2 linked regions of the Caenorhabditis elegans genome follow. The protein of the gene in region 2 purifies or fractionates together with the protein of the main gene of each other region. This does not show direct contact. Each region holds a gene or a part of one and is shown on either strand. Other genes may lie near its edges.

What was found.
Region 1: the proteins of K07H8.8 (region 2) and dpy-19 fractionate together in Caenorhabditis elegans (co-fractionation; one large-scale study listed by BioGRID). This does not show direct contact.

The regions. Positions count from the first base shown.
Region 1 is NC_003281.10:8,663,149-8,670,636, forward strand, and holds the start of dpy-19 (C-mannosyltransferase dpy-19), read right to left. Parts: upstream 4,335-7,488; 5' UTR 4,328-4,334; coding exon 4,225-4,327; intron 4,218-4,224; exon of another isoform or gene 3,733-4,217; coding exon of another isoform or gene 3,649-3,732; intron 3,533-3,648; coding exon of another isoform or gene 3,439-3,532; intron 3,398-3,438; coding exon of another isoform or gene 3,291-3,397; intron 3,233-3,290; coding exon of another isoform or gene 3,013-3,232; intron 2,968-3,012; coding exon of another isoform or gene 2,864-2,967; intron 2,749-2,863; coding exon of another isoform or gene 2,413-2,748; intron 2,315-2,412; coding exon of another isoform or gene 2,198-2,314; exon of another isoform or gene 2,190-2,197; intron 1-2,189. Other genes in the region: F22B7.1 (uncharacterized protein), read left to right, coding at 2,198-2,314, 2,413-2,748, 2,864-2,967, 3,013-3,232, 3,291-3,397, 3,439-3,532, 3,649-3,732. UniProt on the Caenorhabditis elegans protein: C-mannosyltransferase that mediates C-mannosylation of tryptophan residues on target proteins such as unc-5 and mig-21. Mediates the attachment of alpha-mannose in C-C linkage to the C2 of the indole ring of tryptophan.
Region 2 is NC_003282.8:8,265,127-8,271,771, forward strand, and holds K07H8.8 (sulfotransferase family protein), read right to left. Parts: upstream 3,287-6,645; 5' UTR 3,223-3,286; coding exon 3,171-3,222; intron 2,976-3,170; coding exon 2,785-2,975; intron 2,744-2,784; coding exon 2,601-2,743; intron 2,513-2,600; coding exon 2,381-2,512; intron 2,329-2,380; coding exon 2,188-2,328; intron 1,976-2,187; coding exon 1,818-1,975; intron 1,766-1,817; coding exon 1,626-1,765; 3' UTR 1,518-1,625; downstream 1-1,517. Other genes in the region: vit-6 (Vitellogenin-6), read left to right, coding at 1-697, 746-1,015, 1,059-1,241; K07H8.5 (uncharacterized protein), read left to right, coding at 5,945-5,997, 6,044-6,275, 6,492-6,626.

The DNA.
Region 1 (7,488 bases), on a different chromosome or scaffold from region 2:
CTTAAAAAAGTATTTAATTTGTTTCCCCACCCAATTGCTCTTAATAATCCTCATTGGTTCTCCTAGTTTTACTCTTTTGTTCCCATTTCCCTTTTTTTGCAATTCAAAACACATCCAGTTTTGAGAGAGAGGTCTCTCTCTCTGTCCCTCTCTACCTCCCCCTCTCTCTGTAATTATCGACTTTGGGGACGAAATGTCAGTTCATTTGTGGAAATAGTTTATGAATCGGAGAGACTTTAGACACTTTGAACAAACCGTGTCGTCGTCAGTGACGAGACACAAACACAGGAAGTTTCGTTGAATATGTTGATGTTTCTGTTGACGTTTCGTTCCCTAGTTTTTAGAGATTGAGAGCATCTAAGGATTAAGGTTCAATGTTTCAAGATTTAAAGTTTTGAAACATAAGTAACAGAGTAAATGATATGATTTAGATAATTTTCTTATTTTTTAATCTGGCAAGCACGCTCAACTAACAAAACACGAATCCGACAATCAGTCAAACATCTTAAACTTTTTAAAAAATTGTTCATTCTTTATAAGAGCGAATTTCAAATTTAAAAAAAACTTTAATTAAGCTTCAGGTCAAGCAATTAGGCGTTATTATTAATTCTGGCAAGTTTCCGTTTTTCAGATATAATCATTTCAATTTCGATTCTTTCTTCAAAGTGTCTGGAAAAAATGCTCTTTTTTAATAATTTCGCCGAATCTAATAGTTCTAAAATTTTATGTTGAAACGATCAATTCTATAACAGTATATTCAAAAATAACCTCACTAAACTTGAATTTTTTCCAAAAAAAAGCATTCAAAGTGAGCAAATAGTTTTGGTAATACAGGTGGCTACAAATTTTCTGTCAAAATGTTCAATACACAAAGTGTGAGCAAGAGCAGAACCAGTTTTCAAACATATTGCTCTCAGTTCTCACTTTCATTTTTGTTTGTATTAGAGGCTCATTGAGCAATAGCAACTTGAACTTTACTTACTGTTTGTAATAGCTTAACTGTTCACATTTTTACTAAAACTTTGCAACCTATAGGTATACCTAATAATTGGGTTTTTCAATTTTGTATGAGAAATCACATCCCGAAACTGAATGGAAACTTTCTGATTAAAATGGATATCACTTCAAACATAGTGTCTTTTAATATTGTCTAAGCCTGTATGACAGTGATAATTTCTAATAAAGAGGCGCAGAGAAATTAGATAATGACCGATAATGATGAGATGAATGAATGTAATGATGTGGGAAAATAGATAATAGAATAAGAAGTGTGGGCATAATGATTTAGATGATAGAAGCGTTCAGTCTAGGAATCATTTCAAGTCAATATCACTAATTATCTCATTTATTTTTGTTCCTTTGATTTATTCGTTTTGGTAGGGCCGTTTCATCTTAAAGCGTATATTCAAAACAATTAAAAAATCGTTTTTGAAGTCTTCCAAGTAAAAATAAATATCTGCTTTGTGCCTATATTGCGCACCTATCATTTAATTTCTTAAATGGGGCGTAGCAATTTTGGACTTCTGCTTCAATATCTTCAAAATGATCCCAATAGACCGAATTTCATAATGTGACTCCTCGAAAATTTCTTATGAAGATACAACATTTTAACACTGTTTTCTTTCATAGTGTCCAACGCCTGCCTTTTTCCTACACTAGTTTTTTTTTCAATATCCTTGCAAGTGCACCTGCAAGAAAAGTTTAACAAAAGTTCTTAAACTTAAAAAAGTAGGTGGTAGGCAGGCACGTAGGTGCGCAGGTATGTAGCCAATAGATTCTCAAAATATAATTATAAAAACTCTGCATTTCTTTTTATTCATCCTAAAAGCGCATTCTACTCAAAACCCAGTCACATGCTCTATTCACAAAAGTCAATTTTTTTTCATCTGCTCTCCGCATAAACTCTTGCTTCCAATTTCCAGATGCATTTAATGTCACGTGCGTTCACTTTTTTCCCTTCAAGCTTCCAGAACAAAAAAGTCTTGTGATGTTTCGCTCAGAAATTTGTTTGAATAGATGATAATTGGATTTCGGTTGAATTATTTTTGCCATCGCATGTCCTTTCTTCAATTCTCAATTTCCAGTTTTCGTGTGATTCTCCAAAAGTTTCAAACATCATCCGAATTTTCTTGTTTTTCTATTATGTCACTGATTTCCTATTTATTTTTCATATTTTTAAAGTTTTTTTTAAGGGAAAATGAAAACGCCTGCAATTTTATTACTCCTATTCTTATTTATGATGAGTTTGGCACAAAGTGATGAGGAACAAAGTGGAAAGGAACCTCCCGAAAAAGATGATGTTCTAGTTATTCTGGTTGGTTTTTGCCAATGTTACCATGTCAGAAATGCATGCATGCCTACTTTCGGCACATCTTCGTTTTCTTTTCCCGTATTCTATGTTTTAATTTTCAGGCAGAAGACAATTCGACACTATTAAACAATAACCAAACAATGTATGACCCTTCTTCCGAAGAAAAAGAAAGTGACAAACCAAAATTCAATTTATTGGAGACATATTTACCACTTTTCATATTTGTACTCGATCTACCAACAGAGGATAGAGAAACTTTGAAAGCCTATGTAAAAGATAAAACTTATGAAAAACTGAAATATGTAATCGATTCAAAAGTTAAAATGAATCGAAATGAGAAAAATGTCTTAGGAAGAATCAATGAATCCTTGGTACAATCAATCGATAATTTGGAACATTTTGATGAGATTACTGTAGATGTGGTGAATGGTTATCACGTAAGTTTGACATTTCAATGGAAAATCATCTCTCTTTAATCTTTAAAATGTTTTATTTTCAAAAAAAACCTTAATATGACAATACCAAATTTTCCTTCTATAACTAAATTTCTAGAATGCCTCCGTATACAACGCAATCCGTTCAGTTTGGTTGAAACAATTACGTCCATTTCTGCCGCTAATTGATCAAATGGCCATTCAGCAGTATTTTGCACAAAGGTTTCAAACATCAAGCGTCTATCAAAAACTATGTTTATTTTCCAGAAAATCTTCTGAAACTGAGAAAATGTCAATTTGGGCAAGATTATGGGAAAATCTGAGTGTTTGGATGTATGGAAAGAAAAAATTAAACGAATGTTATGCAATGGAGCCAAAATGTGTTCGACACGCATTGGAATTGCTTAATTTTGAACAAAGGATTGATTTGGATTTAGCTGCTTATGAGAACAAGTTTGACAGTGTTGATGGAATTATTAGGGAAAGAGTGAGTCAATTTAGATATTTAAAAAATGTCAAAAGCCCCAAAACGAATTAATTTTCAGCTTGGCGAAAATCGGAAAAGCAGTGAACTCGACGAATGGTTGCACAGAAATCGCCCACCAAAAGCGCTACAAGCTATTTTAGATGAGCGAAGTGACATTGAGGAGGAGTAAGATATTTATATTGAATAGATAAACGTTAGATTTTTAGAGCTCTTCAACGCCTTCGAGATAACGGAGTTCTGAGCTCACTCAAACATTATTACAAAGCAGTTATAGAGTCAAGAAGTCATGAAGAGCAAGAGGTAACCAATGTTTTAGATAGTTCTTGTCAATTTTCTTACGCATTTTTCGATATTCTGCTAATGGGTGCAAAGTTCTAAATTGTTTTTAATTGTAGCTTTCTATATTAAACTTTCAGGACATTCGTCATTTCTTCGACATAATGAATGACACATTTGCTCGTTGCTTTGACCCACTACGAGGCCAGTATCATGATTTCTAGAAAAACCCTCTTTTTGACTTCTTCCTCCATTTGTTTTCAGTCTCATTTAAAGTTGGAGTGGCATCGGAATATTTTTTTTGACTATTCATATGGTGCGTAGAAACATTTTTTTCCAATTTTTTTCGAAATTCGTTGTCGGAAGCTGGGAATTCTCAGCTTTTGTGAACAATACTTTTGGTATTTGGAAATTGGTTTTTTAAAAAGTGTTTCATAACAGTACATTATTTGGTTGGAAAACCTAAATATTCCAAAGACATGCCAATTTACCGAATCTAAACATTTCAAAAAGTTTATTATGATATTTTGCCACGTAAACTTTTATGAATATTAAAAAAAAATCCCCCACTGACGCTGCTCCAGCTTTAAAATCTCAAACTCTTGCCACTTTGAATGCATATTTGTTCCCTCTTCCTCTCATTCTATTGTTACGTGTATTTTGAATTTAATTTCCTGTTTCATGTTTTTAGTTTGAATAAAACATTGTTCACTCACCTATAATTACAACGGAAGCAAGCCAAGTTTGCGAATATAATGAGGAAGAAGTATCAGAAGAATATTTTGATTTTTCAGGCGAATTCTTGGGTTTCTTTGCCATTTTTTGTCTGGAATTACAACAGCGTAAGAATTGAGAAAACAATTAACGAAAAAAAAAAATACTAAATCCGTTCTGATTAGTTAACAGCACAGAAAAATGTCAAGGAGAGGTTTTAGAGAGAGAAAGAGAGGGAGAAAAAGTGTGAAAAAAAATTAGTGAGGACTGAAAATATGTTATTTCTCTAGAATAGAGATTAGAGTTGAGAAAATATATGAGAAATAGAAGGAAAACATAGAAACTAGCAAAAAGGATAGGGGTGGGAAAATATTAAATTTTTCATTTACCTAAAATTTGATATTAAAATTGCGATAAAGTAGGTAAGGGAAGCGTGTCTTGTAGGCAGGTATTCTGTAGGTAAAAAATTCTTACCTGATTTTTGAGGTATTTATACCTATGCCTACTGCCAAAAAGTTTTTTTTTCAAACTTAAAAAAGAACTATCAAATGAATTGAAAAGGCAAACACCAAACACCAAAGTAAAAAATGCAAAAATGGGTGATTGGTGAGTAGGCAGGCATGTCAAGAGAAAAATAAAAAGTAGGTAGAACATAATTGAACTATGTATAATCTACTAGAATATTAAATAAAACGTTGAACTTTTCAATTTGCTAGCTGAAAATAATTTAAGTTGACTTTGAAGGCTTTGCACTTTTGGTAAAGCAATTTCAAATAGTGGGAATTAGTTTTTAAACATGAAAAAAGGAGATTATGAAGACAGACAGACTATGTTTATTGAGAAAAAAACCATAAAAGCTATACGATTTTCCATCGAGGCGTTTCACCAAGAGACTTCGATTTTTTTGCCCATTTTTCAAAAGAAAAATACTCAATTTACATGAAAATAAACACAGCTTGAGATACCTCTTTCCCAACGAAAAAAAAGGAAATTCAATTGTTCGAACCCGACGCTTTTTCTTTTTTCAGAGATTTTTGTTTAGAGAGAATGAAGTCACGGACAATTTGAAATTTTAGAGGGAATCTATTAGGGAATTAGCAAATAGTATGAACAAATATAATTAGAAAGGGGAAACTTGCAGGGTTTTGCAAAATTAAAAATTGTAGATTTTTACACTTCGAACAAATCCGGAACAGTTTAACAGTTTAAAAAAATGTATTTAAAACAAGTTAAGTTATTTCTTTAAAAAATTTCGAGAAATGTTTCAAGATTTATATATTTATGATTTGTTTCAAAAATATCCAAGAGTTCAGGGAAAAGCCAGAAAAATGACTCAACAAATCAGCAAACAGTACAAGCAAATACAACGAGCATTTAAAATATTTTGGAAGTGAAAACTAAAATTTCAAAAAAATATGGGAACACAACATGATAGTTTGAGTAAAACATTAACCGAATCCTCTTCCTCTACACATTGAATCCAATCCATTTGACAGGCGGTCAGACAGGTAGCCAGTTAGATAGTACTAGGGTTTACAGAGACGCAGACATACCGATAGAGAGTAATACACAATAGATCTGTCCTCTTCTTGTAGTAAAGAAGGAGGAGATAGAATTGAATGAAACAACACTTATTTATGCTTTATTCTTCTATTGAGATATTTTTAGAGAGTTTTGAGTGCTTCAAGTAATTTCAAAAAATTAGGTTTAATGATGGAGAAGCGTTGATGCGGATGATGTTTTGAAACACAACAAAGACTGGAATTTGGAAATACCACAATGGAAAACCGATAAAGATCGAGATCAACAAAATTCAATTTTTTCAAACTTTCTCAATTTCCAAACGATCTGCAGAGTGCTCAGTACTTGACAAGCTTAAAACTACAAAAACTCTGTGAAATCCGCCTTTGAAGAAATTACAGGCTCTGAAAATAGTGCGAATATAAAAACGTCAGTTCGAGTTTTCAGGCTGGTGAAAATCAAACAATTTTGGTTTTTTTTTCGAAATTTTCAGTCAAATATGGAATGGTAAATTTCCAATTGTTGGAAAATTGATTTGATTTGTATAGTTTTTTTTTGGAATGTTCCATACTAAAAATACATTTTCCATCTCTTGGCGTATATTCTTTGGATAAATTTTCAGATAAAATCGAAGCATATTCGATTCCTTCGGAAAAAAGTTCCAAATGGAAAAAACCTCTTCTATTGTTCAGGATTCTACTGAGAACAAAAGTTGATGTTTTTTTTTGAAGTGAGAACAAACCGAAAATGAAGATTGTATTGAGTTGACCAATGAGGAAAAATGCATTCGAGCCGTTTTTATTATTGATGGAGTTATTCGTTTTTATACGATACGTTTTGAGTTCTTGGGAAGAATATTTGTTCCCAATAGTTATTTGTTTGACTTTTTCCAAAATCAAATTTAGATGATCCATCTTTAATACAGAAATATCAATTCAATTAGACATATTATTATTTTTTAATATATTCCAGCAAACAATCGTCCTTCTTCACAAAAGTGCTCAAATTCTAATTGTAGATAAATATTTATTGAAATATTTATTCGGTGTACTGTAGGTCCCAACTTTTGTTACTGCGGAATTTTCATCTATTTTTCATAGTTTTCAACAAAATTGATTTCTTTATTGAAAACTAAAATAAAACACGTAGAAACAATGAAAAATAGGAAAATCACTGAAAATCCCGCAGCAACAAAAGTTGGAAGCTACAGTACTCTTTAAAGGCGCACATATTTTTTGCATTAAAAGAAAATTGGTCGTGTCGAGACCGGGCTCCGTATTTTTGGCGCGAAAATGACAATTTTTCGCGTCTGCGTTATAGTTCGTTGTTAATTTTGAAATTAAGAAGTGTGGAATCTTCTGTGCATTAATTGAATTAGAATTAAATTCATAGGCTTTAGTTTTCAGAAGCTACTGATAAAACAAGAAAACTATGAGCAAGCAAGAAGAAGAAATGCTCAACTAGTGAAATAATGTATTTTATAATAATTCTTCGAAAACTATTAGGCATTTCGATGAAAATGGTTTCTCATATTATTCGGCACTTTCTCAGTTTACACCGAATGGATTAGAACGAGTCAGGCATATTTGGACGGATATTTGTGCGAAACTTTCGTTTTTATTTCCAAATAAAAATGTTCAAAGCAATTGATATGTAACTGAAACTTTATCTGTGAATTAAATTTAACAACAATAACAAAAAAGCAGGAAAGATACGCTAAAAAATGCTAATTAAAAAAATACGAT
Region 2 (6,645 bases):
CAAGAACATGATCCGTGCCACAATCAATGTTGAACCACGCCAACGTCTAACTGTCAACATGACTATCGAGACCCCAATGGAGACCACCGTTCTTGAGCGTGTCGAGCTTCCATTCAGACTTCCAACTGCCCAAATCCACTACCAGCCAAGAAACTCCCGCTACGAGCAGAAGCCAGTCATGGAGAAGATCGCCCATCACGCTTCCAAGCAAGCCAACTGTGTTGTCAAGAGCACCAAGATCAACACCTTCGACCAAGTTGCCTACCGTAACCAATTCACCCCATGCTACTCCGTTCTCGCCAAGGATTGTGGATCTGAGAAGAGCGAGCCCCGTTTCGTTGTCCTTATGAAGAAGATCAACGAGAAGAAGGAGTGGAAGAACGTCAAGGTTGTCTACGGAGAAAACGAGATTGAAATGTACAAGACTGAGGAAGGACTCATCTGCCGTGTCAACGGAGAAGAAATCGAGTACCAACCAGAATCTGAGATTGAGAAGAAGCAATACAACATCATCTGGCTTAACAAGAACACACTCAAGTTCGATTCTGATGATGTCACTGTTCAATTCGATGGAGTCAATGCCCGTATTCACCTTTCCGCTCTCTACAGAAACCAACAATGCGGACTTTGCGGCCACTACGACAACGAGAAGGAAACCGAATTCTATGATGCTGAGAACCAAGAGAACACCATTCCAGTAAGTTTCTTAATTTTGATACACAACAATAATCATCTCAATTTTCAGAAGTTCGCCAAGAGCTACTTGTACAAGGACTCCAAGTGCAACTACGAGCGTGAGATGTTCGAGAAGGAGGAGAACTTCCAACGCATTGAGAAAAATCAAGAGGAGGAGAAGGACCAAGAGATGAACTACGAGGAATCTCGCCGCGAGCAAGACGATGAGCCAACTGAGCAAGTCGCTATTGTCGAGCGTCAACACGAGATCTGCTTCACCCAGAAGCCAGTTCTTCGCTGCCAAAACGGAAAGTCACAGGAGTCCAAGAAGCAAAAGGTGGTAGTAGTTATACATTTCAATCAATTATTCTGTAACATTTCAGACCTCCGTCTACTGCCTCCCATCCTCCAACTCATGGGCTCGCCGTCAAATGCGCGAGATCCGCCGTGAGCCACTCGCCCAATGGCCAGAGCACAAGCTCCGCAACCTTCGTGACCAACCACAAATGGAGGAGCGCACCGTTCGCGTCGCCGTCGACCAGAAGTGCGACAAGTTCGACTATTGAACTACCTCTTCTTCACAATCATACACATCGTAGGACTATCTTTGTCAATTGAATTGTTTTATAGATTTCAATAATAAACAATTTCAACAATTTTTTGTTTGTGGAAAATTTACTTTAAACATATTCCAATTTGAACTGTTCAATTCAAACAACTCGGCATTTTGCCACAGAGTTCACTTCTACAGTCTCCTCTCGCACGTCGTCAGAGTTCACAAAGAGTTCAGATTTTTCTGTAGAAGTGCGAGGGAACTCTATGGCAAAATGCCGAGTATTTAGAAACATAAAGTTTATGTTGAAACAATCAGAATACGGAAATACAATTGAAATGCAACACCGGGGAAAATTGTCCGATTTCTGTCAATCATAGTTACTTGTTTAACCCGTCTACATTGAATACCCAAGATATAAAAAATCATAGTAATAAATTCTCTGTAAAGCTCTCCTGATAGCTCCATCTTCTTCAATAAGCTTTTCATATTTAAGTCGTAGAGATGTTCCAGATGTTGAGTGCTGGGTTTTTCCTTCTGAAAGTGTTGAAATTGAATGAAATCAAGAATGCAATTAAAAAAAGCTTACTTGAAAGTTCTTCTCTGACTTCGTTCAGATTTTCTTCTGGTACATTTCTATTTTTGAAAACGGTCAATAAATTATCAATCATCTTTATTTTTTCTGTCCCCGTACTCGAATATTGTATTACTGTTGAGTTCTTGATGTTGTTTTTCATATCGCAGTACCTGAGAAACCGTTGAACGATCTTTTGGTTTAAATTTTTGAAGATTCTCATGACTAGGAGAAATGGAAACATGAATTAGGCAATAGGCTAGACAAAAACTGTTATCTTGATCTTAGCGAGACATTATGTCTTTTGTCTTCTTGTAGCCTCTTATGAATTCAAAAGACAGCTTAAAATCCTGGCATGAAGAATTTAATGAAGTTGAGAACTCACCAAGTTTGAGGAGCAAAATGTGTGTCTGCTCCAGTGTAAACAGGAAATAGCATACTCATTCTAATTAAACGTCGATATTCTTTCTGCAAGAAACATCGGATGTCGGTTCCACATCCGTGACAAATATTTGTGTCCGTGTTACTAAAATTTATATTTTGCAGATCCTGATATTATCCTCTAAATCTAAACTTACTTTACACACTTCTCGGTAAATCCTGAAATGAACCGATCATAGGGATTTCGTGTGAAAATTATATTATCAAAGTTAGAATTCAAACTGCGTTGCACCATTTTAAAAGATTTCAATTCATTGTTTTCGCAAAATCTGCAATTGATTAAATTTTCATTCAATTCATTCAGTTTTAGTTGGGAACCAGCTGTAACTGCTGAGAACCAACACCGCTCAAACTTACCTTCCACCATACATTTCCGTTGATATTGTTCTGTTGTTTTTGGTGAAAGCCTCCGGATCTTGTATGTAACATATTGCGGCAGTTCCGATTGTAGACACAACTTTTGGAATAAGACAAAGAGATATATCATAACGAGGAGAAATCTGAAAGGGCTTAGATTTAACTGTGGCCTAGCGGAGCTTACTGTAAAATCTTGAAGATAATCATAAAATGGTGGAACAAATGTTTGATTAAAAGGTATATTGTTGCATTCTGCCAGTACATCATTACATTCTTTCGATTCAATTTCTTTCATTAATATTTGATATTTATCAATACTGAAACATATTGAAAATATGCCCATTACTACCAAAACCGCTTTCGGAATATACCTTTCTGAAAATAAATAAAACATTTAGAAGTAACTTCCCATTTTAAATGCTATAGCTGAAAAAGACTTTCGAAAAACACCACCAGAAACATCTCAAATATGAAACTTTATAGTGTGATTATTAATTTCAAAAACCAGCTAAATGTAAAATCATTGTTAGAAACAGTAAAAATAAGCAAACAAAATAAAATTTAACAAACCCTTTTTTCCGTAATAAAATTTATTTGAAGTTGTGCAATAGGGATTCAACATTTCCGTGAAATGTTCCAAGTCATCAATGTCGCCACCTTCACCACTATCCAGACGCAATAAAGGCTTCCGATCTTCGGCATAGGTCATCTGATAGGTATCGGAAAACACCATTAACGGGTGAGTTTTATGTATTTGACCGAGAAAAAAGCTCTTGAGTAAATAGAATCTGCATGAGGTAATTTTTCTCATTCACAGTTGAAGCCCTAACGAAAAAATCAAATAAAGTAAATACATAAATATTTAAACATTATATTCTGAGCAAAAAGGGAACTATTGGATTATCCGGTTGTCTAACAGATCAGAATACTTTGTATTTAGTTTGATAAACCATAACCGAAAGAATTGTTTAGTGTAAAAAGGGTTGTACTAATGTTGGTAGTAAAGGAGCGGCAAAGTGACAGAAAAATTTATTTTAAAATTATATGAAAGGATGGCATAAGTATTTAATAGGTTTGGTTAATTGCAACAAAAATGTGAAAAGAGCTGAAACATATAACTCGTCCAGGATAAACTGTTTAACTAAGACCAAACAACCAAGCATCGAATGGCATAAAAGAACATGCCACTTAAAACATTGACCGCATCAAGGTTTTTCGTTCTTTTAACTACCTGCCAAAATCTTTCAGCGCTTTTCCTGAGTCATTTTCCCTTCCTCCGCGATTTTCTGAAAACTCGTTTTCATCCGATACATCAGTCTCAATTTATTTTGTGTGACATTGCCGACTTTTAAAGAGCGAGTCTCGGAACGAAGCAGACGGAAAATTGAGAGAAATTTAAGATTAATTTGCTTATTTTAAGATACGAATACTATTTCTTTTTATTTTCTTAGGTTTATTTCTTAGATAAGCTGTAATGGTAGAAAAAAAAAGAAAAAAACGAACCTCGGGGAAATCAGTGGGAATGTTTTCATACCCTTGGCTTTATTGCAACGGGACAGTCAGAAAAATAAAAGTTGTAAGGCTTATTAGAAGAAAATATAACGGAAAAATCATATTTAATGTAAGCCTGTAAGACATATTTTGGGATATCATTCAAATCTTTATTTTTTCAAATTTTTATTTTCAAAAATAACGAATTTTCGAGAAAAAAAAATATTAGGTCTCCAAATAAGTTCCGGGTCAAAAATCATAACTTTGTTCGCTGCGTATCAATTTTTATGAAACTTTGGGAATTTATATTATCAACCATGCTCTTTCATTTGACAATAGTCACAAAATTTTTTGACCACCCCAAGTGGCCTAACTCGGAGCCAATTTTTTCAGGCATTTTTCTGATCTCGCTTCTTTTCAGTTTTCAATTGAGCTTTGTGTGCGGATTTTGCTTTGTTTAGAATACATTATTAGAAAACAACAAAAGTTTAGAAAAAAAAATTTTTTTTGGTTGGTCGTCAAAAAATGTTCAAAAACATTTTTGTCGAAAATTCTAGATTTTTCCTACAAAAATGATGTAACCAAGTGTAAACTATTTTTAGACATACAAAACATATCAATTTAGTTCGATACACTAAAATGATAGTAGAAAATACAATTTTTTCGGATAATTTTTTAGTTTTTTGAATATTTCTTGAGATTCAAATTTTTAACTCAAATGATTTATATGTGTAAAAATAGTTTACACTTGGTTACATCTTTTTTGTAGGAAAAATCTAGAATTTTCGACAAAAATTTTTTTGAACATTTTTTGACGACCAACCAAAAAAAATTTTTTTGGGCGGATTTTTTTCCAAACTTTTGTTGTTTTCTAATAATGTATTCTAAACAAAGCAAAATCGCACACAAAGCTCAATTGAAAACTGAAAAAAAGCGAGATCAGAAAAATGCCTGAAAAAATTGGCTCCGAGTTAGGCCACTTGGGGTGGTCAAAAAATTTTGTGACTATTGTCAAATGAAAGACCATGGTTGATAATATAAATTCCCAAAGTTTCATAAAAATTGATACGCAGCGAACAAAGTTATGATTTTTGACCCGGAACTTATTTGGAGACCTAATAGCTATGGTAAAAAAGAGTAGCTGACTAGTGAGTGAGGCGGAACATTCTCATTGTCAAACAAATCAAACAAATCCCTGTTTAAAAAAATTTTTGTATTTAAAAAATTGAAGAAACGTGGTCACTTTGTGAAGTTAAAATATAGCCTTTCACTTCTTTAATTAATTTCTTCATGTATTTTTTTTTTCAATTAATCCGTGAAGCCTCATTGGATTACTAAACCATCTTGCCACGTAGAAGATTGTTATCAATCAGTTAATCTGCCAATTCAGAATTAAAACGAATCAGTTCTTCTTTTTGCGAATTGAACATCATTCGTCAATCAGTCAAACTTGTGATTCTCGACCAAAAGAGTACAAGCTGTGAACAAGTTGCACGGAGATCAAAATGATAGGTGAGTATAAGTTGGACAGGAGCTTGAAAGTTTTTGGGCTTCAAATGCGCTCCACGGATAAACATGGTAAAATGAAAGAGCCGCAGCAATCCTCCAGTCACTCAAATCTGCAGTTCGGTGGAAAACGTAGAGAAAACCGAGAACGTCAAGCTGAGATAAATGAAAATAAAAAAGTGCCAGCTGATCGATAATTGTTTTGCGTTTTGGCTGTGGCTGGTGTTTGTTTTCATGTGGATTTTGTGAGAAAGTGAAAGCTGTTGTATGGCAGTTAATAATTGTGCATTTAATAATCAAGAAGGCGCATAGATTGATTCTTAAGGTATTATATTGTCAAGTTGACGATGAAGGCGGGAAGTTGGAAGACTCTTCTCTACTTGAAAGGGAAAACACAAGGGTATGATATGATGCTTTGAAATTAACTTGGAATTTTTAACTTTTAGAATCAAACTTTGCATTGATCCTGAACATTTTTTGGATGATAAGCGTGCTCCAATTTGCAAAGAGAAGTTCGAGTTGTACATTATGCCACGTAACGGACTTGTCATTTGGCCAAAGAGTGGACGTGCTTCGATGATGGAACTGAAGCCTCGGGCAATTGCGGATGCAGAAATCTATGTAATCGAAGTTGGATTTGGTTATGGAGATAAAGTTAATGGCAAACTTCCAGGAGAGGTTTGTACAAAGTTCATGAGTAATTCATTTTTGAAATATCCTGGATTGAGTGTTGAATCAGCCCTGTCTGAAATGTCCAATCGTAATTTTTGGCCAAAATTTTCAGAAAGTAAAACATTTTTTTTATCTTTGAAAAAAAAACAGATATCTCTGAATACAGCATTTTTGTGCGATTCTCGCAAATCTAACCTTTCAAACTTAAATATTTTTTTCCAGTTTTATGTGGCCAACATGTTCCGTGAAGTCGTTGTATCTGATTCTGAGTGGTGGGATGCAACAGCAGCATCGAAAGTGGCATTCTTCTTCGAAAAGTCTGATGATTTGAAAGAAAACAAAGGAATCATTTCTCAGGTTTGTATTTCTGAAAAAA